Linked DNA regions of Diceros bicornis minor. Each later gene encodes a partner of the first gene's protein in a complex. Links are inferred from orthologs where the notes say so. Each region holds a gene or a part of one and is shown on either strand. Other genes may lie near its edges. The genes, in order: NPR1 and NPPA.

Region 1 (15,583 bases):
GTTGGCAGAATCTTTAGGATTACCACTAGGTCGGCTACATTGTGTCCTGTAGTCATTGTTCCTTTTTTATATGATCCGACCTGTCGGACTTCTTCAATTTGCTATTGGAAAAGGGATTTCAGGAAAAAAAATTAGAAGTGAAAAGACTGCCTCTCAGAACTCAATTACAACATAGCTTCCTGTGACCCAGATTTGAAGTAGCAGAGGTCAAGTGATATCCCCCAAACAACCAAACGAAAAGCCTGATACATCACGGCTAGCTGATAACAACGATATAAGTCTTGTCCCCATAATCAGTACTATAAAGGAATTCCAGTGTAGTTTCCCATTTTCGGCTTGGCTTTGGATAATAGGCAACCAAAGAATTAAGAGACAGGAGCCAAGGAAACTTCCACACTAGCAAGGCTGCCCTTTCCTAGGACTAAATAAATCATCAAAAACTCACCACTTCAAATGTCCCTGGAGCCACAATCAAATTATCAATCACATTGTTTATTTTTGTCACCAAAGAAAGGATAGAAGCCTGAAAAACAGCAGGAAACAAAAATAACCTAAGTTGAAAAATTACGAGCAACTTCTCAGAATTTGAATATTTTCCCCTAATCCCTTCCATACAAGTGGAATCAATACTGATATAGGGCTTTGAAAACACTCTGACCCTTCTGGCCTTGAATATGTCATAAAAGAACAAGTTTTTGATCCCAAAGATAGATTCCTCAATAAAAATATGAATGCATATGTAACCTGTTTATATATTCATCTGGCAGTCTCCCTCCACTCACAATGAGAAATAAGAACAATTCAACCCACCGTGGAGTTTAGGCTCTGATAACAGTAACCTTAACCTCACCAGCAGTTATTCACTTCTCTAGCTTTCTTTCTTTTTTTTTGGTGAGGAAGATGATTAGCCCTGAGCTAACATCTGTTGCCACTCCTCCTCTTTTTGCTGAGGAAGATCAGCCCTGGGCTAAGATCAGCATCCATCCTCCTCTACTTTATATGTAGGACGCCTGCCATAGCATGGCTTGATAAGTGGTGCATAGGTCAGGGCCGGGGATCCAAACCTGCAAACCCTGGGCCACTGAAGTGGAGCACACAAACCTAACCACTACACCACCATGCTGGCCCCTTCCCTAGCATTCTTAGTGAAATCTCAGGAAGGAAGCCAAAAGAATATACCTGTTCAGCAGAATTAGGAGCAAGGTCCTGATTCCTCTTCAGCAAGGCTTCGCTGAAGGAAGTTTCATCAGGCGCTGGCTTGACCCGGGGGAAGGCCATTTCACACTAAATCAGAAGTAAATAATTATATACTATTTACCAAAAATAATATACAGGGAAGATTGTTTTTTTCGGTTGCCGCAACAGAAAAAACTGAAAATAGAAAATTCTACAACACCTGTCTACTCAAGATGTTCAAACAAGGATGTAAGCTACAAGGAACAGCCATAATTTAAGCTCTCACTACCTTTATATTAACAGATAAGCCAGAGATACAATTAATTATTCAGAACAAAGATTACAATCACCTTACTGCCAACAGTAGCCAAGGAATTATCTTCCCCACCCTCCTTACACTGTGTTTGTACTTAAAGCAACACACAGCTGACTCAAAACCCCAGCTCCACTCACTAATCCCTTTTCCTACTCCAGCCACTATTCAAGACTTCATTGACAGGGAGATGCTGGGCTCCAGGAAACTACAAGTGAAACAGTGTCCAGGCTCCATTTCTATGTCTATAGGTGAACAGGGGCCAAGATACTCACCAAATAGAAATCAAATGGGATATGTGGCACAAAGGGCCTGAACCTAAAACAAGAAAAATCCAAATTATTCACCACAGAAATCAAGTGACTTAGCCTAATGGGGCCAAACTCATTTAGCAGGAGAGGATGAAAAGAAACGTTTCTAAACCACAGCTGGATCTCACAAAAGCAGGTAGCATCAGTCCACTCCAAACTCCTATTTAGATGACTGAAGTGTAAATTAAGCAGTGCAGAGATGCTAAAAACTGACACTCACCCTCCTCCTGGGCCGCCTCTGGAACCAAAGCGACCACCACGACCTCGGCCTCTGTCACCCCTAGAAATGCATAAATAGATTTTAACCTGTTTTGACCTGTTGAAGGCATCTCCACCATACCGGTCAAATCACTTCAAGTTAGCCTGCCTCCACCGCTCCGAACTTCCCTTTGGAAGCCAAGAGACCCCATTCCCACCTACGCTTCTCCCCATTCCAAATGCTCAGCCTCACCCCCAGGACCTCCTCATTCTGGATAATTTAGTCACAACTCCACCCAAACATAATGACGGGCTCAAACACTGAACCCCTACAAGAAATACCCCATGACCCCTGGAAGACGCCAATCCTAATACCTGAGGCACTAAAGTGAGTGCTCATTTATTATTAACGTAGTAAAACATTTAGCGGGCATTTCCTATGTCAAGCACTTGGCATAGAATGAATGAGGCACGTTCCAGACTTCCCAGCCTAGATGGGGGTGCTTCTCCTGGGACCCGAGGACACCCCTCATCCAGACCCCTCCAAAACCGAGGGGCCGACCGCCTGCCCGCTCCTGCGCCCCACCCCCAGCCCGGGCCCAAGTTTCCCCGCCCCCGCAGCCTCCGACCTCCCCTACTCTCCCAGACGAGGCCTTTTCGGTGTTAGGGCAGCCCCCAGACACGTGGCCCTTTCAGCTCCTCCGACTCCTTTCGGCCCACCTTCCCAAAGTTTTCGGTCGAATACCCGACACCATTCTACAGCACCCCAGTGCCTTTACCTCATGGCGCCCTAAAACCCGAACAATGGAGGCCACACCAACCGCCCCTTTCCTCGGAGGAAGAGATAAATGGAGAGGCGGCTTGCCGGCGTGTCCCAACAAACTCCGGCGCGATTGGCTCCCGCCTTACCCCGCCGCTTATGCCTATTGGTCTACAATGGCAAACTGGCTTATGAACCAATACAAAATGCTGACTGTGTCAGGATCTAGCCAATAAGAACAGACTTAACAAAAATGAGCATTTTTATTCAACCAGACACTAGACGGCGCTGTGTAAAGAAGGCAGGACGGCTAACGCGCTAAAAACTTTCTATAGAAACCATGAGGCACCTTCTCTCCAGCTAGCAGAGTGGCGCAGCGGAAGCGTGCTGGGCCCATAACCCAGAGGTCGATGGATCGAAACCATCCTCTGCTACAGGCGTGTGCTTTTTCTTCTCAACTTAAATTTTCTCAGTAAAGGTAACTGCCCTCCTTTTACTTTTTCCTGCGTCAAAAATGCAGCGTTTAGAAGCTGTTTTTGCCATCAGCATGTGAAATAGGGGAATAGGAAGAGACTTTAAACAACAATAAACACTACGTCTGGGTGTAGTTCACAGAAGGCTAGAAACTCGAGGCAGGAGAAGCGGATTTGAGAAAAGGAGGAAGTATATTGATGGAATCAGAGGGGGAAAACACTGATGGCGACGGACTAGAAGGGAAACCGAGGCAGCCTTTAGAAAGAGAGCTCAGAAAACGAGAGCAAAAGAAGTGGCAAGGAAAGAAGGACGCGGCCCACCCATTATTGCCTGATTTCCCCCCAATTTCTCTTCTTTCCTCACTCCACAAACTCTCTGGCGTATTTTACCCTTATATGAGGTTTCACCAGCCACGTATACGGATATACTGTATTTGCATTTAAATCAATCATATTACTATGTGCTTTTCGTTTCTTCTGTAATCCTTCTTCTCCTTCTAGCCTTCTTTTGCATTGGTTAATATTTATTATTCCTTCCCTGCCTCTGTTAATTGGAAGTTACGCACTTTTTCTACTCTTCTAGAGGTTACTCTAAAAATTACAACATGCGTCCTTGACTTAGCAAAATCTAATTTTTGGTAACATTTTTACCCTCCTGGTGAAAATGCAGAAATAATTTAATTCCATTTACCACCGTCACTCCCTCCAGAATTATATACTATTGCTGTTGTGTAATTCTTTTAAGTGTTTTATTGATGTATAATTTACTACAGCAAAATGCACAGATTTTAAGTCTACAGCTCCATAAATTTTGAGTAATGTATTCTGTCCGTGTAACCACCACCCAGATTAAGATAAAGAACATTTTTATCACCTCAGAAACTTAGCTCATACCCCTTTGCCCTGCCCCCAAGGCAATCACTATTCTAGTTTCCATTATCATAGATTAGTTTTGTCTGTTCTTGAATGTCACACAAATGGACTCACACTGTATGTACTCTTTTTTATCTAGCTTCTTTTGCTTGACACGTTTCAAGATTCTCACATGTTCTTGCATTCATCAGCAATTTGTTCCTTTTTATTTATGAGTAGCATTCTATTGCATAAATATACCACAGTTTGTTTATCCATTCTCCTGTTGATGAACTCAGGACCTCCAACTGGCTGAGACACACAGAAAACATTTGGGTTGTTTCCAGTTTGGTGCCATTATGAATAAACCTGCTAGGAACAGTTTTGTACAAGATTCTTGTGGTGAGATGCACTCATTTCTCTTGGGTAGGCGTAGCTGTATACGTGTACAGAATTTAAATTCTGTAAATACTTTCAATCTCACAAGACATTAATGCTTATTACCTAAATTAGTGGTCATTTAGATTTACAATCTGTGTGTGTGTGTGTGTGTGTGTGTGTGTGAGGAAGATCAGCCCTGAGCTAACATCCATGCCAATCCTGCTCTTTTTGCTGAGGAAGACCAGCCCTGAGCTAACATCCGGCCCTTCTTCCTCTACTTTATATGGGACGCCTCCACAGCATGGCTCGACAAGCGTGCATCCCTGCGCACCAGGGATCCAAACCCAGCCGCCAGCAGCAGAGTGCGCACACTTAACCACTACCCCACGGGGCGGGCCCCCTACATTCACAATTTTTAATGTTCTTTATTTCTTCCTGCACGTCCAACCATTCATCTGGAATAATATTCCTTCTGCTTGAGAATTCGTGCCCCTCTGCTGGTGGCTAACTTTCTCCATTTCAGTTTGTCTGAATACCTCTTTATTTCACCTTTGTTTTTGAAGGACATTTTCTCCAGATATGGAATTCTAGATTGGAAGTTATTCTCTTTCAGCACGTTTACAATATTATTTCACTTTCTATGGCTTCCATTTTTGCTCTGAAAAAAAAAGTTCTCTAGCAATCTAATGGTTGCTCCTTTGAAGGTAATCAATCCTCTTTTTACTATTTTAAAGATTTCATCTTTGATTTAATTTCCTGTGATTTCACTCTGATGGGTCCAGATATGGATTTTTTTTAAAATCTTACTTGGTTTGTTGAACTTCCTGAATCTGTGGCTTGATGTATTTCATCTATTTTTAAAGTTTCTCAGTTATTGTCTCTTCAAATATTGCTTCTAGTCTTTTATTTTCCTCCTTCCTGGGCTCTAAATAAATGTGTGTCAGACTTTCTCACAGTATCCTCCATGACCCTAACCCTCTCTTTTATGTTTTTCACTCCTTTTTATTCATGTTTCATTCTGGGTAGTGTCTTCTGTCCTTTCTTCCAATTCATTACTTGCTCCTAAGTCAAGTCTAACTTGCTGTTAAACCCATCGATTGGTTCTTAATTTTGGTTTTGAATGTTTTGGGTCCTCATGTTCTATTTACTTCTGATTTACCCTACTCCTAGGTTTCTAGGAGTGCAGCCTTTCAGGATTCTAATGAAAAACAGGAAGGCAGTTTACCAGGTTTTCATCTTTTTTTTTTTTTTTTTGGTGAGGGAGATCAGCCCTGAGCTTACATCCATGCTAATCCTCCTCTTTTTGCTGAGGAAGACCAGCTCTGAGCTAACATCTATTGCCAATCTTCCTCCTTTTTTTCTTCCCCAAAGCCCCAGTAGTTAGTTGTATGTCATAGTTGCACATCCTTCTAGTTGCTGTATGTGGAATGTGGCCTCAGCATGGCCCGAGAAGCAGTGCTTCGGTGCGCGCCCAGACCATACCCGGACCACCAGTAGCGGAGCACGCGCGCCCAACCGCTAAGCCACGGGGCCGGCCCAAACCAGGTTCTCATCTTTGGGGAAGTTTGGATTCCAATTTTTGTCTCATTTGCACCACACAGCCTATTTTCTGCCACCAATTCGGATCAGCAAATGACCCCAGGGTAAAAGCAGTCCTACTGCTGTCTCATCTCTCTGCTTTCCTGTCCTTTCATGCTCTCACACCAATAATTTCTCAGTCTTATTAGTTCTTTGATTTTTTAAAGTATTTCATCCAACATTTTTAGATGTCTTCAGCTTGAGGATTGGACAAATTATTTAGTCCACCATTGTTGAAAGAGGAGCTCAACTACTAAATTCGATTTCTAGTCTAGTTTCTCCTGAGCTCCAACTCCACTAATCCAATGGCCTATTGGACACCTCCACTTGGGTATCTACAGGTGCCTCAAACCATCTAAACTAAAATTATCATCCCCCCAAAATTTGCTTCTTCAGCTTCTCAACCAATGGGTCAATGTCACCTAGACTTCAGTTACTTGTATACTGTCTCTCTTCCTGAAGTCCAAATGATTTTACTTCCAAAACATCTCCCTATAGTCAACAATACTGTACTATGCATTAAAAAATTTGTTGAGGGTAGATCCCATGTTAAGTGTTCTTAGCACACACACAACATATACACAAAAGGACACAAGGAAACTTCTGGGGGTGATGGATATATTTATTACCTTGATATTGTGGTGATGGTTTCATGGGTATAAGCATATATCCAAATTCATCAAATTGTAGACATTAAATATGTACAGTTTATGGTATATCAATTATACCTCAATAAAACTGTTTTTTAGTCTCCCAATCTCCTATATACATCTATAGCCTCTGGAGCCCCCCTTACAGGACAAAGACATTATGCCTGTCACACAAAAGCTTGCATGATCTGCCCTCTGCTGCACTTCCTTGCCTCTCCTCCTCAATCATTCCTACGTGCACACACCTGACATCCTAGATGGGAGTTGAAAACATAAACTACTGTAGCCAGTAATGCAAGTGAGTGAACAGGGTGGATAGGAACTGTGGTGAACTGGACTCATCTCAAGGAGATAATGGATACTTCCAGCTGATTGTACATGGAGAGATGCAGGAATTATACTGACTGTTTGTTGAACAGAAGTTGACTGATCTTCGTTCCGCTACGCGCAGGTTGGAGTTGGCCGCACAACACTGTCAATGATTCCCTCTGACCATTAGAGGGCAGACTGATTCCACAGGGGTCCGGCCCAGCGGACCAGCCGTCAAGTGCTCCAAAACCCTCTCCCCAATTTACGCCTCCGCTGGTCGTTTCCAACACCATCTCCCACCACCACCACAAACCGCATTTTAACAATCCTCCTCAACACAAAACAAACACACAATCACAATCCAGGAGTGGCCCTGAGGTCACTCCTCTTCCCCCCTACAGCCACCTACACGCTCTCCCTCCCACTTCCTACAAGCATTTGGAACTAAAGAGTTAATTCCGCCCTTACACCTGGTCCTTTTTCTCCGCTAATCCGCTCAATCTGGAAGCTGGAGTGGGGAGGGAGTGGGTCCTAGGTGGACTGGGTCACGGGGACTCCGGGCTCACCTACTTTAACGCCTTTTTCAGAAACCATTACCCTCCCGCCCCACCCCCAGACACACACATCCACACACTCACACTTTTTCCTGCCAGGATCCCAAACCAGCACATCTTTTTCTGTTCCCCAGACGGAACCAGGTAGGAGGGGAGAGACAAGGTGGGGCGCAAGAAGCCCCTGGATGCTCCCACACACATCGCTATCCAGCCCTTCTTCCCATCCCCGCGAGGGAGCCCCTCCTACGGGTGCCGCTTCTCCAGGGAGGAAGACGCTGGGCCGCCGAGAAGCGGGAAGACGGTTTATGGGGAAAGCGCGCGGGCTGGGGGGCGCGGGAATGCCCGCAATTTAGGTGCGGGGAGGAATGAGTTAAAGATCCAGGATTGGCTCCTCTGTCACTGAGTCTGGGAGGGGAAGCGGGCGGGAGGGAGGGTTCGGAGCTTGGCTCAGGTCCTCTCCAGTCCCCCCCGGACAGCTGGAGACTTGGGCCGGCCGGACGCCCCTTCTGGCACACTCCCTGGGGCAGGCGCTCACGCACGCACACAAACACTCACACTCCCCTTTCCCTCCATCGAGCCCTCTCCCATCCTTCTCCCCGAAGCGCTCGCTCGCGCTCTCTTTTTCTCTCCACTTCTGACACACGCACGCGCACACACACACACACACACACACACACACACACACGCTGTCGCTCACGCTAGGGTCCTCTCGGCTCCGGCGTTCTCCTTCTCGCGCCCACCTGCTCCGCAGTGCCCTCCGTGCACCCCTCCGTCGCGTGTCCAGCCTCGGGTACGCCCGCCCGCCGCGCGCCCCTTGCGCTCCTGGCCCTGACCTTCGCAGCTAGAAGGGCAGCGTGCACCGGGGTGAGCGCCCCCGCCCCGCTCCTCCTCCCTCCCACAGGGGCGCGCCCGATGCCCGGGACGGGCCGCTGAGCCGGAGGGGACCGAGGAGGCCATGGTGGGAGCCCTCGCCCGCCGCGGTGCCCGCTGAGGCCATGCAGCGCCCCGGGCGCCCCGCCGGCGCCCGCCTGAGGCTGTTCCTGCTCCTGCCACCGCTGCTGCTGCTCCCAGGCAGCCACGCGGGCAACCTGACGGTGGCCGTGGTGCTGCCGCTGGCCAACACCTCGTACCCGTGGTCGTGGGCGCGCGTGGGACCAGCGGTGGAGCTGGCGCTGGCCGGGGTGAAGGCGCGGCCCGACTTGCTGCCCGGCTGGACAGTCCGCACGGTGCTGGGCAGCAGCGAGAACGCACTGGGCGTCTGCTCCGACACCGCCGCGCCCCTGGCCGCGGTGGACCTCAAGTGGGAGCACAACCCCGCGGTGTTCCTGGGCCCCGGCTGCGTGTACGCCGCTGCCCCAGTGGGGCGCTTCACCGCGCACTGGCGGGTGCCGCTGCTGACTGCCGGCGCCCCGGCGCTGGGCTTCGGGGCCAAGGACGAGTACGCGCTGACCACCCGCGCGGGGCCCAGCCACGCCAAACTGGGCGACTTCGTGGCGGCGCTGCACCGACGGCTGGGCTGGGAGCGCCAGGCGCTCGTGCTCTACGCCTACCGGCCGGGCGATGACCAGCCCTGCTTCTTCGTAGTGGAGGGACTGTACATGCGGGTCCGCGACCGCCTCAACATCACGGTGGACCACCTGGAGTTCGCCGAGGGCGACCACGACCACTACACCATGCTGCTGCGGACCGTGCGGCGCAAAGGCCGAGGTAAGAGGCCGGCACCCGGGCTCCCGCCGCTCTGCCCCGGGGCCTTCTCTGTAACCCATCAGAGGCTCCGGACCGTCCTCTGTCTTCTCTTTCTTCTCCCGGCCAGTCTTCTTTCGCCTCGAGGCACCTCATTCCGGTCTCAGCCTCCTCCGCCCTTTCTGCCTCGGAGTTTCCATTTCCTTCTCCTTCTCCATCCTCCGTCCCTTCTCCTTCCTACGCGCTCCTCTCTTCTCACCTGCCCCACTCCCTCACCTCCTTCCCACCGGTTCCTCCGGAGTTAACAGGAGGGAGAAAATGCTTGCTGCCATCCCGACACTTACTAGGTCCCTGGCTTAGTTCCCATCCCTATTTTTCTCCCCCATTTTCTGTCGCTTCCCAACAGCCTTCTCCTCTCCTCTATCTTCTCCTCCCATTGCTCCCACACGCCCTCTACTCTTCCAGTCCCCTCTTCAGCTGGCCCCTCCTTCCCTCTCCTCCCCTCCTGACCCCACCTTGCCCACCTTCAGCTCCACTATTCCCACTCTCCCTATCTCTGCTCCTTCCCCCTCCTCCTCCCACTCTTCGTATTTCTCCAGCCACAGCCTAGACTGAGCCTGAGTTCCAGGTAACTACCACAGGGTCTCTGAACTGCCCCACCCCCACCCCCCCACCCTGGGCGCCCCAGCTGCCCTACCCAAGGAGTGCCCCCTTCTCACTCCCCCAGGACCTAGGCTTCTCTCTCTCTGACCCCCGCTTCCTCCCCAGTGATCTACATCTGCAGTTCCCCAGATGCCTTCAGAACCCTGATGCTCCTGGCCCTGGAAGCTGGCCTGAGTGGGGAGGACTACGTTTTCTTCCACCTGGACCTCTTTGGGCAAAGCCTGCAAGGTGCACATGGCCTTGCTCTGCGCAGGCCCTGGGAGAGAGGGGATGGGCAGGATGTCAGTGCCTACCAGGCCTTTCAGGTGAGTGTCCAGGTTGGAAACCTAGGCTGTGGGACTCTGAGCTGGTGGCACATACTTTCTGGGCACTGGGTCCCTCAGTGTCTGAAAGGATTCCAGAAAAGAGGTTCTTGATGCTCACAGAAAGTTAGATAATGCAGGGCAGGGTCTGGGGCCAGGGCCCAGAGGGCCAGAGGACTTCAGAGCCAGGAGGCTAAAAAGATGAGAGAATGGGCTTGAGGTGGGAGGGTGTTCAAGTCCCGCAGACTAACGGGACTTGGAGAAGCCATCCCATTGATCCCCTGCTTTGGTGCAGGCAGCACCTCACACAGGACATAGGGTCCAGTTTGACCTTGAGCTAAGCAGAGATGCAGCTCTGGGAGGTGGGCCCCAGGGTACTGGGAGGACTGGGGTCAGCCCCCAGCTCTCCCTTCTCCACTGACCCCTTCCTCAGGCTGCCAAAATCATTACATATAAAGAGCCAGATAATCCTGAGTACTTGGAATTCCTGCAGAAGCTAAAACACTTGGTCCACGAGCAGTTCAACTTCACCCTGGAGGATGGTCTGGTAGGAGGGAGTCCTGGGACCCTCCAGTGTGGACCTTTAGCCCCCACCCCATGGCCCTCTACCAGTTTCCACCCCGTTCTCTCAGCCAGCCCAGTATTCCCAGGTCTCACCTTTCCTGTCCCACTGTTCCTATATCTCCCCTGATGATGGAGGGGGACACTGACAAATTGTTCAACCTCTGAAACTCACATCCTCTTCAGTAAAGTGAGGATGATATGTCCTGCCCTAGCTGCCTAGCAGGATTCAGAAGCAGTGGTATATGCGGAGGCATCGTATAAGTAGTAAAATCTCTCTGTCCTGTGGGGTGTTTTCTCCCATCCTCTCCAAGCTCCCAGTGCCTCCCATTTCCTCCCCCACAGCACCCCACTCTGTGCCCTTCATACCAGCCCCCGGCCAAGCTCTGCTTGCCCCTGCAGGTGAACACCATCCCAGCGTCCTTCCACGATGGGCTCCTCCTCTATGTCCAGGCAGTGACAGAGACTCTGGCTCACGGGGGAACTGTCACCGATGGGGAAGGCATCACTCAGAGGATGTGGAACAGAAGCTTCCAAGGTCAGGTCCTGGAGGTGGAAGGAATGGGCTGCCTTGGGGTGCCCCAAGCAGGAGGCCATGAGAAGCTTCTAGCCCTGCAGCACGGGTAGTTGCCAGGCTCTTCCTCTCTTCTGTAAGGAACCCCTACATTTTCCCTTAGGTCCTCCTTCCCCGTCTTTCTCCATAGTTCTATCAAGGAGTCCTCCTAAGTGCCTAACCCCAATCATTGCTGTTGCTGAAATGTCTGTCCCTTTACTATTATTCCACATGCATATGTTTGGAGGGCAAGGCAGAGAAGATCCAGGAGGGAGATGAGGTGGTGGTGGGGGGTCCCTGAACTTTCACTCTCTCAAAACACAGTTGTCTTCCTCCATGCCCCCAGGTGTGATGGGATACCTGAAAATGGACAGCAATGGAGATCGAGAGACCGACTTCTCCCTCTGGGATATGGATCCTGAGACTGGCGCCTTCAGGGTAAGGTCGCGCCCCCAGAAGACAGTGCCAACTGGGAATGACATCTTGCCCTCCTACCTCCCCAACAGCCCTGCCAGGGCATCTGTCTACTCTGTAGTCACCTTACCATGCTTGGTCACTTTCAGAAAGCCCTAGATAAAAGAGACCCAGCTCCAGTCTGGGGGAGCAACCAGAATTACAAGGACTCACAGGCATTACCCTTGGGGAACCCCATGTCTGAGGAGGGAGCACAGCCCTGCCCTCAGCAAGTCCCACATCTTCTAAGTAGGCAGGACCCCTGCCCAGCAGAGACAGGCCAACTCAGGGCCAAGATGAATACACATCATACAGCTCTATAAGTACATCAGGAACAGGAAGGGATTGAGGCCACAGGCGCCAAGGAGCAGATCATCCAGGGAAGGCTTCTTGGAGGAGGGGTACATGGATTAGGCCTGGGAATGTGGACTGAGGAGACTGCCTTTTCCTGTTTTCTATGTACTTCAACCCAAGATTACAAACTCCCTGTGTGTAGGGCTGGGGTTCTATATGGAGTTTTCTTTATAAAACCCCTGAGTAGTTTCCAAGTCTTTCCACTCTGATAATGTGGGCATGGGTATGAGGGCTCTCTGTACCCACTCACAGAGGGGCTTGTAAATAGCTGACAGCCCAGATATAGGCCCTGGAAGAAGAGATGGGGTAGGTGGGAGGCAGGACTGCCCCACTGGACAGGCAGTGGGCCTCACCCCATGCCTTGCCTGCCCACCACTCCTGCCCTTCCATAGGTTGTTCTGAACTACAATGGGACTTCCCAAGAGCTGGTGGCCGTGTCAGGGCGCAAACTGAACTGGCCCCTCGGGTACCCACCTCCTGACATCCCCAAATGCGGCTTTGACAATGAGGACCCAGCCTGCAACCAAGGTGACTGCCCCTTGCCATCCAGGCCTCCATTCTGGAGATGCTACATCCTCCCACCTCAGGGAGTCAGACAGGTGCTCCTCTCCCACACAAGAGTTTTCTGGAGGGACTCCTCCTGCCTTTCTCTTCCCTTCGTCCATCATCCTAGTTCACTGATTGACTATTAGAAGGTTCTTCCTCCTGCTGTCTAACCAAAATCTCTCTTGCTACAACTTGGACTCTCTCCTGCAGACCACTTTTCCACCCTGGAGGTGCTGGCTTTGGTGGGCAGCCTCTCCCTGCTCAGCATTCTGATCGTCTCCTTTTTCATATACAGGTGAGCCTTGGGATGAGGATGGTGAGTGAGGTTGGCAGACCAGGAGAACCAATAGCAGAGGAGGTGGCAGGGACCCAGAGGGAAGGAGAAAGGGGTGAAGGTGCAGCAGAAGGCTGAGGGAGATGGGGGAGAAAAGAGACTAAAAAGCCTTAGGACACAAGGAAGAGAGAAGGAGGAGGGAACAAGGACAGGAGTGGACAGAGAGGGTGTGGGGGATCCCAGAAGGAGCCAAGCAGTTGGGGGAGTGACATCACAGGGGCGCGGATTCTGGCCTGCGGGCCCTTTACCCTCCCTCCTACCGGTGCAGACCGGATGGGAAGCAGTGATTCAAACCCTTTGGGATTGGGCACATATTAGTGGAGCAGGGATGGTGAGCCCTGAGTGTACCAGGTGGAACCAGGAACGGAGGAGAGAGATAAAGGAGCCCCCCTCCAGTGGGAGGCTGAAAGGAAAGTGCAGGAGAAGTTACAATAGAGGGAGGCAAGAAGGGAGGGAGAAAAACTATGTGCACTTCACACACGATATTTCTTTTCATTCTCACAACAATGCTTTGAAATAAATATCAAGGTCCCCGATTTCCAAATGAGGACATTTGGACTTTAGGACATGAGACTCAGAGAAATGAACTGACTACCCCAAGGTCCCCAGTGAGGCAAAATTTGATCCAAGCCTCCTGACTCTCAGCCCAGAGGACGCAATTCCCCATCTACCTCTTAGCATAAGCAGTGGTCCCAGTGTTCTGAGAAGGGGCTATGGAGCAGAGCACCCCTGCTCTGAGTCGGGGGCTCAGACATGGGCTCAGATGCAGGTTTCATGCCCCAGGAAGATGCAGCTGGAAAAGGAACTGGCCTCAGAGCTGTGGCGGGTGCGCTGGGAAGATGTGCAGCCCAGTAGCCTTGAGAGGCACCTCCGGAGTGCAGGCAGCCGGCTGACCTTGAGTGGGGTAAGAACACTGGTGTTGAGGGGAATGGGGGAGAGCTGGGCATGGGGGTGGGGACCAGTACCTGATGGGTAGGGGAGAGAGCCACCTTCACTGGCTGTGTGACCTTGGTAGACCTCTGAGACTCCCTCAGATAATGATTACATCCGCTGAGCCTCCTCACAGGGCTCTTCCAAAGGTCAAAAATACTATATGTGAAAATGCATTAAAAAAAAAAAAGGTAAATGAGGACAGGATTTCATGATAGAATGAGAAGCAGAGTGACACAAAGATAAGGCAGGGAAGTGAAGACCAGAGCTCAAGCAACCAGGATGGAGACCTAGGCCCATGGTGGGGCCCACAGGCTGACCATCTCTCCTGCTCTCCATCCCTTCAGAGAGGCTCCAATTATGGCTCCCTGCTAACCACAGAAGGCCAGTTCCAAGTCTTTGCCAAGACAGCGTATTATAAGGTGGGCCTGGGAAAAGACGGCTGGTCCTCGGCACTGGGGCCGGGCTCTGCTCTGACGAGGATGGGGAGGGTCACAGGGGCGGGGGTGGGCTGTCAGGAGCAGTTGGAGTTCCCAGAGCACCAGGCCATCTCCTCACAGTCTCCATTCCTTGCCCAGGGCAACCTTGTGGCTGTGAAACGCGTGAACCGTAAACGTATTGAGCTGACACGAAAAGTCCTATTTGAACTGAAGCATGTAATGTCGGGGAGGAGGCAGTGGCCTGGGGAAGGGTGGCAGGGGGACAAGGGGAGGTTGGCCAACAGAACTGGTTATGGGGGGACCTCAGGGTATCCTAGGAAAGAGCGGGGATGGTAGCCATGGGATGGGTCCTTGCGTATTGTGGGTAGGAGCAGGGGATCATAGATGGGGGAAGGGACTAGCGGAGATCCTGGAGGAAGTTCTCGAGGGGCCATACTTGATGCCCCTGGTGGTGGAGAGCTTAGGAGACAGAGGGAGTAGGGAGCAGATTCTGGGGGAAGGTGCGCTAAGGACATGGGTGGGAATCACCAGGGAATGTCCTGGAATGTCTATAGAGAATGAATAGGGAGTTAAGAAGAGTGGGGGAGGGTCCCTGAGGAGGGGGGCAACTTGGTGAGGAGTGAGGGCTCTGTCAGGCTCCTGATGTTGGCTTCCATCTGCAGATGCGGGATGTGCAGAACGAACACCTGACCAGGTTTGTGGGTGCCTGCACCGACCCCCCCAACATCTGTATCCTCACAGAGTACTGTCCCCGTGGGAGCCTGCAGGTGAGGGGACAAGAAGTTGTCAGGAAATCTGGGTCTAACCCTGGCTCTGCTCCTGACTGGCCATATGACCCCAGGGAAGCCTCTCCCCCTTTCTGACCTTTTTTTGCCCCATCTGTAAAATGGGAGTGGGGGGAGGGCAGTGGCACTGGAGAAAATCCAGAGCTTTGTCCTGTTGTGCACTTTCTGTCAGTAGGACCCCTGCACTAGTCCTCCTGGGGAAGTCTGCAGGGTACAGGTCTGACTCTTACTGCCCCAGCAGGACATTCTGGAGAATGAGAGCATCACCCTAGACTGGATGTTCCGGTACTCTCTCACCAATGACATCGTCAAGGTAGGCCCAGAGAGCCCAGTGGATGTGGCGGGGAGGGGCCAGACATGCTTCTCCTCCTGCCTTGGCTGTAGGTCCCACCCAGAGCCAAGACCCCTGCCTCCCCAAATTTCC
Region 2 (14,507 bases), on another chromosome or scaffold:
CCGGGCCAGCCCCTCTGTGGGATTTTTATGCACTGCCTTAGTTTTAATAATCAGTGCTATTCCACTAAGTAACTTGTGTTTCCCGTGGGGTCAGGAGACAGCCCCATACAGCTGCCTGGATGTCCTGGAGCATTTCTAAAACCAAACTCGGTACCTGCCCTGGGACACTTGCTCCCACTCTCGTGCCCCAAGCTCTCCTGTCTCTGGCACTGCCGAGCACAGCCCCTGCCCTCGCCGCTTCAGGGCACGCCAGCTCTACTTCCATCCAGCAGCACCGCACTTTCCTGTCCAAGGACTCTCTCTGGCAGCTGGAGCCCACTTGGCTCCCCTTGGGGCAGGCAGGAAGTGCTGGGGAACTGGCGTCAACCAGGAGGAGCACTCAACCAACATCTAGCAGGAATCGGCATTTAAAGACCCCAGCACCCTCGATTCACAGGTGGCGTGCCTCTTACACTGGTTCCCAGAGTTCTCTGTGGGGGGCCGGGGGAGATTAAGCTCCAGTTGTCCGTGGTGGTCACTGACTTCCTTCTTTCCCTGGTCACTTTCTCACTCTCCTGCCAATGTTTCCTGGGATTGTCTCCAAAACAAGCTGCCTTGTACTTGAATCCTCGTCTCAGCTTCAGGAGAACCCAAACAAAGACACGCCCAAAGGATTAAACCTTCCCCCAGGGCCCCACCCTCGATGATTAGAGTGCTTGGAATCTTCTTGGACTCGGTTCTCTGGCTGGACCACCCAGGCTGGCACCGTATCCACTCCTCCTTCCTTCCCAGCACCTGCTGCACACAATCCTTCACTTCCATTCCTGGCTTCGAGCCTCACCACTCATGCCGACATTGACGCACTGGCTTCCTAACTGGCCTCTCCCCACCGGGCTCCCTGGTCTGGCTCTTTCTGCACCAGGGAGGGCAAGGTGCAGGGCGGACACTCACGTATGTGTAGTGGTGGGGTGGTGGGAGAGGCACTGACGGCAAACTCATTGATTCAATCATTCGGAAAATATTTTCCAAAGAATCAGTATGTGCCAGCTCTGTGCTAGGTGCTGGGGTATGCTGGGGTGCCTCATACCTGCTTGGCCTGCACCTCTGGCTTCCTGGAAAATGCGGCCTTAACAATGGCTGACCTGGTTCTCATGGCTGCTATCTGGCCCCGTCTCCACCTCCATATACCACCCCCCACCCCTGACTCTCCCCCTCCCCTCGCCAAGCAGGATCGACTGGCCAGGAGAGATTGCGAAGCCAATGCACGGGTTTCATGGGTGCACTGGACAGCAGTCTCCAGTTTCCTCGGCCACTGCCTGAAGGAACTGGGTAGCACAGCCCAGAAGTGCAGGGGAGCTCACGGCCCTGGTAGGAGTGGGGTGAGGGTGAAAGCGACGCTTTGACTAGTGAGAGACAAGCGGTGAAAAGGAGCCTACAGATGCAGCGCTTGTTACAAGTTCAGTTATGTTCCCCTAAAAGACGTGTTGAAGTCCTAAACATCCAGAGCCTCAGAATGTGACCTTATTTGGAAACAGGGTCATTATAGATGTGATTATTTAAGATGAGGTCATCCCGGAGTAGAGTTAGCCCCTAATCCAATATGACTGGTGTCCTTATAAGAAGAGGAGAAAGAAACACAGAGTGGAAAGACAGCCAGGTGACGACAGAGGCAGAGGTTGGAGTGATGCCTCTGCCAGTCGGGGGATGCCAAGGACCGCCGGCGGCTACCGGAAGCTGGAGGAGGCAAGCGAGGATTCTCCCTCACAGATTTCAGAGGGAGCATGGCCTTGTGACACCTTGATTTCAGACTTCCAGCCTCCAGAACTGTGAAACGATACATCTCTGTTGTTTTAAGCCCTCCAGTTTGTGGTACTTTGTTACAGCATCCCTAGAGATCTAAGGCAGTTCCCTCATCTTTTTCTCTCCTCACAGGCTGTTCCAGGGTGCCAGGTTCCAGGAAGCTCTCTGGAGATGTGCAGCGTGACCAACCAACCACTAAGGTGTTTTTGCAAAGCTGTGGCCGGCTTGGTAACGTATCACTTTGTATCAGCTCTCCTCTTTCCCCACCTGTGGTGGGCAGCCTCTCAGATGGCCCCTGATAATCCCCATCTCCTGGTATTCATGCCCTTGGGTAATCTCCACCCTCTGGGTGTGGGCTGGATCCAGTGACTCACTTCTAATGAACACAGTACAACAAAAATGAGGGGATACCACTTCCAAGATGAGGCTCCAAAGAGACTGTGGTTTACATAATCTCTCTCTCTCTCTCTACCTAAAGGAAGTCAGTTGCATCTCTATGGAGAGGCCCTTGTGGAAAGGAACTGACATCTCCAGCCAACAGTCAGCGAGGACCCAAGGCTTGTCAACGGACACAGGAGTGAGCTTGAAAGCAGATCCCCCAGCTAAGCCTTGAGATGACCGCAGCCCCAGACAACACCTGAATGGCAGCCTCTGAGAGCCCTGAGCAAGGGGCACCCGGCCAAGCAGGGCCAGATTCCTGGTCACAGAAACTACTAGATAATAGATGTGTGTTGTTTTAAGTTGCTGAGGTTTGGGGCAACTTGTTATGCAGCAATAGTTAACTAATACACTATCTCACTTCCTTTTTCCATCACTCTTGCTTCCCTTGAACTGGAGCCCCCATAAAGCTTTAGCAACTTGACTTTTCCTCAGGCTTTTTTTCTAGGGAACCAGCCCCTGACTTCCAGTCCAGTGATCTCCATATTGTACCAAAGAAACACAACATCATTTTCAAAGTCAGAAACAACAGTCCCTAAGTACACACCAGTGTCCTACCAGTTTCTCCCAACTGGGGCTTCTGCTTTAGACCATCTGGGTGTGACAGATTGTGCCATGAACATGGTGAGCTTTTCACACCAGTTCTGCACATGTGCAACATTGCTGGGACCTTGTGGTTCCCCAAAGCAGCCCCCAGCATCCCCATGGAGGGTTGTGAAACCAAAGTGGGCTAGAAACTGGAGACACCCCAGTTCTGGATTCATCCACCCATCTGCAACGCTCATTCCATCACACGACTAAGATGACTTCTTCCCAGCGATACGGAAAGAAAGGCTTTTGGTTTTTCATCTGGTGGGAGAGGTGGGGGTGGGGGCGGATCTGGCTTCCTGCGTCTTTTGCTTTTCTTCTCTCTCACTCCTACAGGCTGGCTTCTAAACACCCCTTTAAATATTAACTCCTCCACACACACACCCCAAAGTTGAGCAGGGGCTTGGAAATGAAGAGAAACTTTACATCAAGCCATTTTCCATTTCAGGCTCAAATCAAAGGCTTTACTGGGATTTGGGGTAACAAGTGTATTTGGGGGTTGTCTGTGTTTTCACTGGGTCCAGTTAGTGCAGGAGGTGGTGCTGGTTCTTCACAAAGTCCTCAGCAGCAAACCTGAATGTTCTTTTTTCTTGTCACCGCCCTTCTGCAAAACAAAAAACGGAAAACGAAAAAAACCCCAGCTAATAGAAGAAACTCAACAAATGACACTCACGGCCCACTCCGGTTTCACTCTAGAAGAGGAAAAGTGACTTTAATAAAAGGAGGTGGGCAAATTCTGAAAGTCCCTTTCTGGAACCTGGGGCGGGACTTCCGCTTCTCCTCAGGCCACCTACAGACTTCAGAAGTAGCTCAGGACAGAGGAGCAGCATCGGCCCTCAGAGGCCAAGCCAAGGCAGGGGCCACCCGCCACGATACCCTTCTGGAAGTCTTCGCCTGCATCAAAGGCCAGTCTCAAAGGGCATCTCCAGGAGACAGGCTGTGTGACGCAAGCAGCAAGGAGCATCGGTTCCCCGCAGCGTGGCTGCTCACTGAATCCTCTTTGCTAATAATAACCCTGCCAACCGAGCAATTAAGCTGTGAGCACATTCCAGGGATTCGTCAGGATACGATGGTTTTTTGCCCCGGGAGCGCTACCCAGAATTGCACCCACCTTGGATTTCAAGTTGAGTTTGGCTGACCCAAATCAGTGACTGAAGAGGGCTTCTTTCTCCTTCTTAGAATAAAATTGCCCTGGACACCTCTTGTGACCTCTGGCCACGTTCTGCCCTGGTTTCCTGCCCTCTTGCCGTATAACAGCCTTTCCACCTGATCAGCCAGGGAGTCAGCTCAGCTAGGGAGGGGTCTGGCAGGGGCGGAGATGGATGTTCCACACGCACACAGACCTGCCAAGTACACGAAGTTGCAGCCCCGAGGCAGGGGGCAGGAGAAGGAGCTGCTCAGAGTCACCCTGAGAGACTGGGAATGGGGGTGTGTTCAATCAGGGACTGCCAGAGGGCTTGTTAAGAGACCATCGCGCTACGCAGCAGCAGTGTCTGTGAAATGGGTGAGGACTGTGTGTATTGGTGTCATACCTGGGTGCAAGTCCTGGTTCTGCCGCTTATGAGCTGAGTGACCTTGGGTAAGTGACAAAGCTCTCAGTCTCAGTCCTGTCCCTCTGTAAATGGCAACAAGACCACCAGCTCCTGGGGGTGGTGACAAAAATGAAGTAACCACATGAAGCTCTCAGCTCAGTGTCTGGCACGTCACAGCTGACCAATACAGGCAAGCGCGATTACCATCTCGCAGTTACACAGCACTTCACACTTCAAAATGCATCCACACATTACTTCTGAGCCTCAGGATAACCTTAGGTTTTTTCACTTTCCTCATTTTACAGATGAGGAAAATAAGGCCCAAAGACATATGCAGCTTGGTTTGTTTTGGGCTACAATGCAGGTCTCTCATCCCTTCAAATTTAGTGTTTTCCCCCAGCATACGCTCTGTTGAGTAGCATGCTAGGGTTGAGTATGTGCTTAGCGAATGGAGGCCACTCATTAAATGTGGCCTCACTGCCTGTTATTTCTCTTTTGGGGGCCAGGAAAATGGAGGCGTTAAGGGAAACTGTGTTACATTCGCCTCCCACCTCACTCCATCAGCCAACTGGCCATGGGAGCTTTCCAGGAAAGGGCAGGGGAATTACAAGCTTCATACTCAAAGAGTCTGAGTTTCTATAAGCAGCAAGTTGAAGAAACGAAAATGCTGCATCCTCTCAGTGTCTACCTCCCTCAGCACCTTGGAGGGGGGTCGTGGAGGGGTCGAAGGAGGAGGAGCTTTGCAGAGGAATGATTGTGTTCCCAAAACTTTCCTTGGTGTTGAAATTTGGGAGCCAAATTCCTGGGTCATTCATCACATTTGGTTCCCGGCTGACTTAGTACTCTAAAACATAACGCCCTCTTCACCTGACTGCGGAGAGTGACTGCCAGAAGGCCAGCCCTGGTGGAGCGAGAGGGCTGCCCTCGCCGCTGATGAGTCAGGTGTGAGGCCGGCTAGAGCATCTGGACTAATTTGTCCCGAGCTGCCGGCTGCCTGCCATTTCCTCTTCTCCCGCCCTTATTTGGAGGCCCTGACAGCTGAGCCACAAACCAACCGGGGGAGCTGGGTGCCCGCCAACTGTCACCCTCTGCTTCCCGGCATGAGTCCCGTTGCCGAGGAGAAAGGAGCCCGAGGCATCGCTGTGAGATAACCAAGGACTCTTTTTTGCTCTTCTCACACCTTTGAAGTGGGAACCTCTTGAGGCAAATCAACAAGAATGTGGCTCTTGCAGCCGAGGGTCCCGGGGGTTGTTGGGGCTGCTCAAGGCGGAGGGGCTGTGACAAGCTCCGCTGGACTGATAACTTTAAAAGGGCATCTTCTGCTGGCTCCTCACTCAGCTGCTTTATCGCTGCAAGTGACAGAATGGGGAGGGTTCCATCCCTCTTGCGTTCTCGGAGAGCCGGGGGCCTATAAAAAGAGGAGGCGCAGGGCAGCTGGGAGACAGAGACGGACGAAGGCCGAGAGAGGGAAACCAGGGAGGAGAGGGAAGAGGCGGCGAGCACCAGACCACTCTGTGACCAGCATGGGCTCCTTCCCCACCATCACCACAAGCTTCCTTCTCTTCCTGGCATTTCAGCTCCCGGGGCAAACCAGAGCTAACCCCGTGTATGGCTCTGTGTCCAACGCAGACCTGATGGATTTCAAGGTAGGGCTGGGAAAGAGGGCACACTCTGGGACCAGGGGGCTCTGTGACATTGTGCCCGTGGGTGAGACCTCTCCCTTTCCCTGTGTTTTCCTTTTGTAAAGAATTTGCTGGACCGTTTGGAGGACAAGATGCCCTTAGAAGATGAGGTCATGCCCCCACAAGTACTAAGTGAGCAGAGTGAGGAAGGTGGGGCTGCTCTCAGCCCCCTTGCTGAGGTGCCTCCCTGGACCGGGGAGGTCAACCCAGCCCAGAGAGATGGGGGTGCCCTCGGGCGGGGCCCCTGGGACTCCTCTGATAGATCTGCCCTCCTGAAAAGCAAGCTGAGGGCACTGCTCGCTGCCCCTCGGAGCCTGCGGAGGTCCAGCTGCTTCGGGGGCAGGATGGACAGGATTGGAGCCCAGAGTGGACTGGGCTGCAACAGCTTCCGGGTAAGAGGAGCCGGGGATGGAAATGGGATGGGGAGGAAGGAAGTTAGGAAGTTGTGGTTTTGTTGAGGCTCAAACCTTGTCAAAGTATACCACCAGGGGACGCCTTCTGCCGGAAGGGACCAGCATAGAAGCTTACTCCCTTTGAAATTTCTGCGCCAACTTGGTGGGTGCCCCATGAATCTTGGGACAATGACATCATCCTCAGCTACAGGCTGCTGAGGAAATGCTAAGAAAAAAAGTTATGCCACGAGCACTGGGCACTTTAAATGTTCATGGGGCAAGTTGCCTTCGCACTGCTGATTGGCAGTTCATGTTCCTCTCCAGATTCCAAATTTGTCAGATCCCAAAGGATTGAAATTGACCAGGGATGACCTTTGAGCTCCTAATGAGCAACTTGTGTACCAGTTCATGAAACTCAGGGAGTTTTCAGGCTGGAGTGGGGTCTATGGGAAGTGACCACAGTCCTACGAAGTTGATGTTTCCAGTAGAGCCAGGTCACCAAGTCAAACATGTCTGTGTTCTCTTTGTAGTACCGAAGATAACGGCCAGGGAGGACAAGGCGGGCCAGGCCCCGGGCAGACTGCGAGAGACCCTCATCCCCCGGGGTCTCTCACTCAACTTTGTCTCATCTCATTGCCCTCAAGCTGAGTTGTGACGAGCACCCTATTCAAGCTGCAGCCTTCTGTCCACATTTCTCACATTTTATGCTAAATGTAGGTAAAGTGGCTTAATTGTGGCTTCCCCACTTCTCCCACCCTATGCATTAAATTTTAGGGCAGACCCTCACCCGTTAACTGGAAGCCATTTGAGAAATGAATAAACTTCAGCACCACGGACAGAAGCCGAAGGCTCGGGTTGGAGTGATTTGTTTCGCTTCCCGGGAAAGAGAATTCAGCATGATTTTCATTTTACCTTTTGTCCCAGAGAAGAATGTTCAGTTTCTTTCTTCCTCCTTCTTAAAAACAATAAAATTTATTTTTTGGAGAAGCTTTAGGTTCATAGCAAAATTAAGCAGAAAGTACATAGATTTCTCATATACTCCCTGCCCCCAACACATGCCCAACCTCCCCCACTATCAACATCCCCACTAGATGGCACATTTGTTACAGTCTATGAACCTGCATTGACACATCGTCATCACCCAAAGTCCATACCTCACATAGGGGTTCACTCTTGGTGCTGTACATTCTGTGGGCTTGGACAGATTCTTCCTCCTCTCATTCTTTCCTCCTTTTTTTGCGGGGGTGGGATGGGGTGGGGCTCACACTGCAGTTCTCTGCCTGCTCTGACTCTCGCTCCAGCTTCATCACAGATCCTGAAAAAGCCCCAGGAGACCAAAAGGGCACTTATTTTTATTCAGATTTGCTCACATTCAAGGCACTTATTTATTAAAAAGAAAACTTACAGACATCTTTTTTTTTTTCTGGTTATATCTAATGTAGCTTGTACTCAATAGACAATTTTTGCACAGCTAGTACTTTTGGCTACAGTTTTTATTTTTATTTTTAGAAGCAACTTTTAAAATGAGGACACTAAAAATTTTCTGACACATTTTGAGAGAGTTAGCTGCTGCAACAGAGCGACCTGCACTTTACTTTTAAGAAGATGAGGCAGAGCATTAAAGCTGAGCAAAGTGAAGACAGAAATGTTTGCTATGCTGACAGACTGCAAGTTTATGTGCCTTTGGGGCACTAACATATGTTTAAAAAAGAGCCATCAGCTTTTTCTAATTCAGGTCCAAGCTTCCTGACTTGTAGATTTTACTGCTGTGAGAGCCACTGGAGGAGACTCGGTCTCTTTCTACCATCTTCTGAGAAGGGTGCTGCCCTAAGCAGAAAACACCGGGCACTGAGTTCACCCACAACAGGGAGCAGTACTCTGACCTGTCTTCCCACCCCACACACCTCACTCTCCCCATCAGCCTCTGTGGTGCTCCTCCACCAGCCCCCCACCCACCAGCTCACTTTTCCATGTCTTTATGTTGTTCCTTCCACCTAGAATGTCCTTTAGCCAGTGCTACCCAGAACATTCTTATTCCTCAAGGTTCATTGAGAATGCCACTTCTTCCCTGAAGCCTTCCCTGATACCTCGTGCCCAGTGCATATTAAGCTCTTTACCAGCAGCATTCTGTATGTTACTATTAAGACACAATTTGCCTTGGTATGCAGTTGTGTTTGTGTCCCTAGATTGCAAGCTCCTTGAGGGAAAATGCCCCTTCAGCACGTGGCACAGTTGATGCTCTATATATTGTCAGTCAAATTGTCTTGGTCTCGTACAAAACTTGGAAAAAGTGGTAGTAACATAGCAGTTTGCTCCTTGCAGAGGGAAGTGGAGGCCAGAAGTGACTTGATGGTTGGGGAGCAGACGTGGGCAAAGACTCTAATCTAACCACGCCAGTGAACGTGTTCCTATGTGGATGCGGAACACAGAAGGGTGGAAAATCAAGAACCAGAGAGGGGCTAACCAGGACATGGGTGGAGGGACAAGAAGAAGTGCCTGTCCCAACCTGGCTCCTGAGGCCCGGCACTGGGCGAGTGGCCGTTGCTAGAAGGGGAAGAGCGGTCAGCTGTGTCACCGTCACAGAGTGGGTCCTCACTGAATGGCATCAACTGAGAGTGCCAAATACACAGAAAATGCCCCTGGAACTTGGGGACGACTTGGGGTCAGGGGGAGGGGCCTGAACCCCACCGATGGAAGCCAGCCCCCCGTCTGAACGTCCACAGACTCAGCACCGGTTTCACTTCTTCCAGTTGGATATGAGGGGACTCTGCTGATGGGGCAAATTCCTAAACAACACACTGCCAGGCATACAAATGGATTCTCCCTCTAGTGCTGCAGATGGGAAGCAGCAGCTGGAAGGACCAGGTAGGTTTTTATAGGAGCAAAGGATCAGTAAAGATCTAACTGTTAATCTCAAGGGAGAAAGACAAGAGTGGTAACCTTGTGCCTTTTGCTCAGATCCACAGCACTACACTGATTCTCATTACAAAGGTAGTAAGTGGGCCCCTGTGAAGGAGAAGTCCTGCTGGGAGAGCTGTAAAAGGAGAGATCTGAGACTATAAAACCACTTTCTGGATTTGCAATTTTTACATATTAGAAACAGAGGGAACAAAATAAACACCAAGCACCACTCTAAAGAAAGAGCACCGTGGAGACAAGAGACTCAAGAAGACAGATGAGGACATTTTATTCTGACATGTTATGGTTACAATGAGAACTTCCAAGTTCCAAAAGTTCAAATAAAAATAGAATTTTACAAATTAAAAAAAATACAATTTATATACACAGTGGAATTAGCTAACATTACTGTATAAACAAACAGTGCAAAGGGAAAAAAGGAAGCTGCTACTGTTGAAACGACTGAGGTCCACGGAGCTGTGGGGCAACACTGCACATCAATACTGCAGGCCCATGAGAGCGCTTCCCACCTCCCCGGGGCTCTCGTCTCCGAGGGCCGCGTCAGTGCGCAATTTTGCATCAGAAATGTTGTATGGTCAGCTGGGTTCAAGCAAGCAAGAGTCCATTCCAGCAAAACCGTTAGCTAAACAAGGTCAGGAGCACACCACCCCCCGGGGCGCAAAGGCCCTGCAGTCTGGAGGGACTCTCGCCCCACCTCTGGTCACCCTTGCTGGGGAACACAAACCACCCAGCTGGAGACGAAACACAGAGAGCCGCCTCTAGCCCACCCCGACCCCCTCCGTGGGTTTTTGTTTATTGAGGTGCCGTATCACTGGGAGGTGATGGGGCCGGTAATAGGCAAGATGGTGAACATTTGGGTTTCTACCTATCAGAAATCAGAGGAGCGAGGCTTACGGTTATTCTGTTACAACGGGAGCAGTGGCTGTCCTCGGGCTTCTCCAGAAACGGCAGATGCCAACAGAGGACAGGAAACAACGCGCCTTTCCAGGGGGCCTGGGTTTGGGTCATCCTTGGTGGCCATCCAGTCAGGTCAGGTGGAGGGAAGCATTTGCATTCTACCATCTGTCTCTGAGCTACACCGATGGGAACAAAATATCTGTTGACTTAAACTCAACAAGCACGAGGGGTGAATTCCAATGACATTCACCCGGGAGGCCTCGAGGGCCCTGGAGGCCAGAGGTCCTCCTGCAGAACTTGAGTTCTGCCAATTTCAGTGAGGGTGGGGAGAGGGGATTCAACTTCTGTGACCGGCAGTCACTCCATTGTCCTGACTTGGGCAATTGGTTTCCTTCTTAGAAAAAGGAAGAATTTGTGTAGCCAAGCTCTGAATGCTGCCTTAAAATAAAGCGGCAGCTGGCTGAAGGCAATCACATTCAGGAAGGCTTGCCTTGTTGGTCCTCGTGATTTCCTGAACTATTTATTGGGAGTTTCATCCACATTTCACAAGTCAAGCGCATCCAGGGAAGCTGAAACATTTAGAAGTCAAAGTACTTTTGGTCAAAAAGAGAAGACAATGGGAAGAATGGAGGGGCCACAGTCAGTTGGGAAAGATGCTGACGCAGCCCTCACTTAAGAGGAACAGAGTGCTGAGCACAAGACGGAAGCTGGCGAAGCCGGGACTGACCGCCCCCCCAGGCTGAAAGGCAGTCTTGGCAAGCGAAGTCAGTGGGGGCTGAGGGGGGAAGAAGAGGGCTGCCAGGGCCAGGCAGAGACACCCTCAGGCGACTTCCATGATTAAAAAACCCACTAAACGCAAATGAAGGCCATCTTGAGTCCCAAAGCACATCTGCCCCAGGGCTGGCCGACGGGCCTAAGGTGCTGATAAAGCAGAGAGCACAGAAGTAAAGGGAAAGTCAGGGCCCGTGCCTGACGCCCGAATGTTCGCTGGGTGCTGTTCAGAGAGGACCAACCAGCCTGGGAGAAACTAAGTCACTGAAAGACAGAGGGAGGCCTCCTAGGTTTAATGCTGAAACCTCAGGGCAGGTGCTGGCAGGCGCCCCTCCCCACCCCAGCCCCTGGCAGCAGAGCAGACCCTGCTGAAGTTTCCATTTCTGAGCCCTCAGCAGGCTGGGGACGGCTGGCAGCAGGTGACTGAGAGACCTTTGTGAAGGCCAGACGCCTCTTCCTTGAATAACCCTCTGCTTTACTGTGACACTGCTTCTCAGGCCACATTACGTACCTGTGAGTGGTCACCGCTCAGGACTCACTCCTTTCTACCTTATCAATAGCTGCACCGTTCCCCAGAGCTAAGCGAAGCAGTGTTATCTGGCGGTGCCCTGTTTGCAGTTAACTTGGGCAGGGGGCGGGGATGGACACTGAGACCCTCTGGGCTGTGGCAGCTTCACCAGGAAGACGAGGTAAGAACTTAAGGAAAGTTTAGTCATTCATAGAGATGAAAAGGACCAGGGATGGATCACGGTACAAATGTGTCACTAGGAGACCATGAATAATTTGGGAAACGGAGAGAAAGCTGAATGTTAAAAGTGAAAGCAGATGCAAATCTGACCCTACTGTCAGACTTATCGTTCACAGATTATTAGTGGAATTTTAATGCTTTGTGCTTCTGGAGGGTGGTGATTCTAAGGAGATTCAAACCCCAGGGGCAAGAGCAGAGCGCTAGCTCACACCCAGGAAGCAGAACATTCTCGAAAATGAACTGTTGAAGATGACGAGTTAAGACCCAACGATGGAAGGCCTCCCTGAAACATGGACCATTTCCTCAGTGCCCAATTCCTAAATTTAGTGATTCACTTATTTTTGCAACTGGTCTCCCCACAGTGTTTGCCTTGCCAAAGTCCCTCCCATAATGGTTTAAGGCAACAGCTGGGCTCCCTAGGAAAGCAGCAAAGAGGGGGCAGGAAACCTGCTCTGGGTGTCCCCCCAGTGGGCGAGGCCTGCCTTCCCCCTCTGGTCCTGGCGCTAGCAGGGTGGAAGGGACTGAGGTCTGTGCCCAAACTGATGGCAGGAATGCAGGGAACAGGAACCAGGAAGATACTTGCTGGGAAAGTCAGACCAGTCCAAGTTCTGATGGTTCAGAACCATCCTTGGGATCTCTGACCAGCAAAGTGTGTGATGATTGTAGGCTTTCCGAGCGAGTGGGTAACCGGGAATCTTCCACGCCCCTGGACAGCCCCAGGCAGCTGTGACGGCGGACCATGAGCGAGCTGCCTCCCCAGGCAGCTCTGGGAGAGAGGGCCGGCCCATGGAGGGGCAGCGAGGCCGAGCCATCACATGGTCTGGTAGTGCTGCCGCAGCCGGGCCTGCAGAAACTCGTCGGTCAGGTTGTGTCGTGTGATGATCCCCACGATCTAGGGCGAGGAGAGAAAGACCCATGTCACCTGCAGAGTAAACCCAGGGGCAAGAGCCCGAGGGAGCAGAGCTCGCTAGCCGGCACGGAGAGCAGAAGAAGACAGCACCAGGCCTGCACAATGCCGGAACTGACATGACAACATGATCAGGAGACTCATTTCAAAGGCCTAATTTCTAGGTGGGAACAAGACAAACAGATAACCAGAGCTCATAAACTGGAGGCCAATGGGACAAATTTAGCTCCAAAAAAGGCTTTAGTTGGGCCAGCTAAAATCTGAATTTGCATGTCTTATGTTTTTTTGGTGAGGAAGATTAGCCCTGAGCTTTTTGCTGAGGAAGACTGGCCCTGGGCTAACATTCGTGCCCATCTTCCTCTACTTTTACATGTGGGACGCCTGCCACAGCATGGCTCGATAAGTGGTGCGTAGGTCCACGCCTGGGATCCGAACCTGCAAACCCTGGGCCACCGAAGCGGAGCATGCAAACTTACCCACTTAACCACTATGCCACCGGGGCCAGCCCCTGCACGTCTTTTTAAACAGGGAACACGCTCTCTAGCTTTGTCAGTTGCCACCACACCCAGCCTGCTTCATGTATGTGAGCGAGAGGCACAGCCCAGTGCAGGTTTCTCAGAAGCTGTGACCTTGCTATGGCTCATAAATACCAACTACCTGGGTCAGTGTGATAGTGTGGTCTATAGTAAGAAATATATACTTCGTCCTTGTCCTAGTCCTTGGCACAAGCTCTTAAAACCCTAAGTGATAAGAATAATAAAGTTGTCTTTCGTTATTTATAACAAGCCCCTTTCAACCACACCTGAATTTATGTTACTGATGTAACTTTTAGAAAGCCCCTAAGGATGGAGCCTGGAGAACCATGGGACCAGAGGGCTGGAACTATCAGCCCCACCTGATACCTGTGGGGGGAGGGGCCGGAGGCTGAATCCATCATCAACGCCAAAGACGTAATCAATCACGCCTATGCAATGAAGCCTCCACTAAATCCCCGAACTACAGGGTTCAGAGAGCTTCCAGGCTGGTGACCGTGCAGAGGTGCTAGGAGGGCGGTACACCCAGAGAGGGTATGCAAGCTTTGCGCCCTTTCCCCACACCTTGCCCTCTGCGTCTCCTCCATCTGGCCATTCCTGAGTGACATCCTTTTATCACAAACCAGTAATCTACTAAGTAAACTGCCTTCCTGAGTTCTGTGAGCAGGAGGTTGTGGGAACCTCTGAGGTATAGGGTGCAGCCAGCTGGTCGGAAGCACAAGTGACAACCTGGACTTGGAATTTGGCATCTGAAGGGGGGAAGGGGGGCAGTCTTGTGGGATTGAGCCCTTAACCTGTGGGATCTGGCGCTGCCTCCAGGAGGATCGTGTCAGAATTGAGTTGAATTGTAAGACACCTGGCTGGTGTCCAGAGAATCAGAGAACTGCTTGGTGTGGGGAAAACGCCCCCCATCTGGTGACGAAGGACGGTGGAGTGTGCGAGAACGGAGAAACGAGTTTCTCCTGCAAGGTCATTTTTCACAGTCACTGCAGTGGCTCACCTTGGTCACCGACGTGGGTACCCCACACTGCAAACTGTGAGGACTGTCAGCGCAGCTGTGTTTCAAGGGACACAGTCTGGTCCACTGCAGCTAAAGTCAGGTGGGAACGAGCTGTGCTGTGCCAGCGTCCTGCTGCGGGTCACTTACTGCAGAGAGCTGTCGCTTCCTGGAGGGCAGTCTGGCGACATACAAGGGTGCCCGCTACAGGGAAATTGAACTCAAAATTCCACAGTAGAGGACTGCTGAATAACTGACTGGACAGCCACACAACAGAATGCTATAGAGCCCTTAAAATATTATAAGTGAATGTTTTCTGCCATG

The links.
Region 2: the proteins of NPR1 (region 1) and NPPA are in contact, whole or in part, in a crystal structure (PDB 7BRG), measured with the Rattus norvegicus proteins. The link is inferred for Diceros bicornis minor from reciprocal best matches to the Homo sapiens genes NPR1 and NPPA. Residues at the interface, in NP_036745.1 of Rattus norvegicus: Asp90, Val115, Tyr116, Ala119, Pro120, Arg123, Ala139, Leu140, Gly141, Ile142, Val144, Tyr148, Tyr182, Asp184, Leu186, Gly187, Asp188, Asp189, Arg190, Phe193, Phe194, Val196, Glu197, Tyr200, Met201, Arg204, His213, Gln214, Glu215, Phe216; in NP_036744.1 of Rattus norvegicus: Arg126, Ser127, Ser128, Cys129, Phe130, Gly131, Gly132, Arg133, Ile134, Asp135, Arg136, Ile137, Gly138, Ala139, Gln140, Ser141, Gly142, Leu143, Gly144, Cys145, Asn146, Ser147, Phe148, Arg149, Tyr150.

What each region holds. Positions count from the first base shown.
Region 1 is NC_080743.1:57,899,548-57,915,130, forward strand, and holds the start of NPR1 (atrial natriuretic peptide receptor 1), read left to right. Parts: upstream 1-8,240; 5' UTR 8,241-8,550; coding exon 8,551-9,262; intron 9,263-10,006; coding exon 10,007-10,206; intron 10,207-10,636; coding exon 10,637-10,750; intron 10,751-11,166; coding exon 11,167-11,302; intron 11,303-11,663; coding exon 11,664-11,755; intron 11,756-12,516; coding exon 12,517-12,652; intron 12,653-12,880; coding exon 12,881-12,965; intron 12,966-13,787; coding exon 13,788-13,908; intron 13,909-14,281; coding exon 14,282-14,356; intron 14,357-14,512; coding exon 14,513-14,590; intron 14,591-15,036; coding exon 15,037-15,141; intron 15,142-15,400; coding exon 15,401-15,472; intron 15,473-15,583. Other genes in the region: ILF2 (interleukin enhancer-binding factor 2), read right to left, coding at 1-101, 446-523, 1,180-1,284, 1,765-1,807, 2,021-2,080, 2,778-2,782. UniProt on the Homo sapiens protein: Receptor for the atrial natriuretic peptide NPPA/ANP and the brain natriuretic peptide NPPB/BNP which are potent vasoactive hormones playing a key role in cardiovascular homeostasis.
Region 2 is NC_080752.1:30,959,543-30,974,049, reverse strand, and holds NPPA (natriuretic peptides A), read left to right. Parts: upstream 1-5,857; 5' UTR 5,858-5,860; coding exon 5,861-5,983; intron 5,984-6,084; coding exon 6,085-6,411; intron 6,412-6,941; coding exon 6,942-6,953; downstream 6,954-14,507. Other genes in the region: CLCN6 (H(+)/Cl(-) exchange transporter 6), read right to left, coding at 12,558-12,638.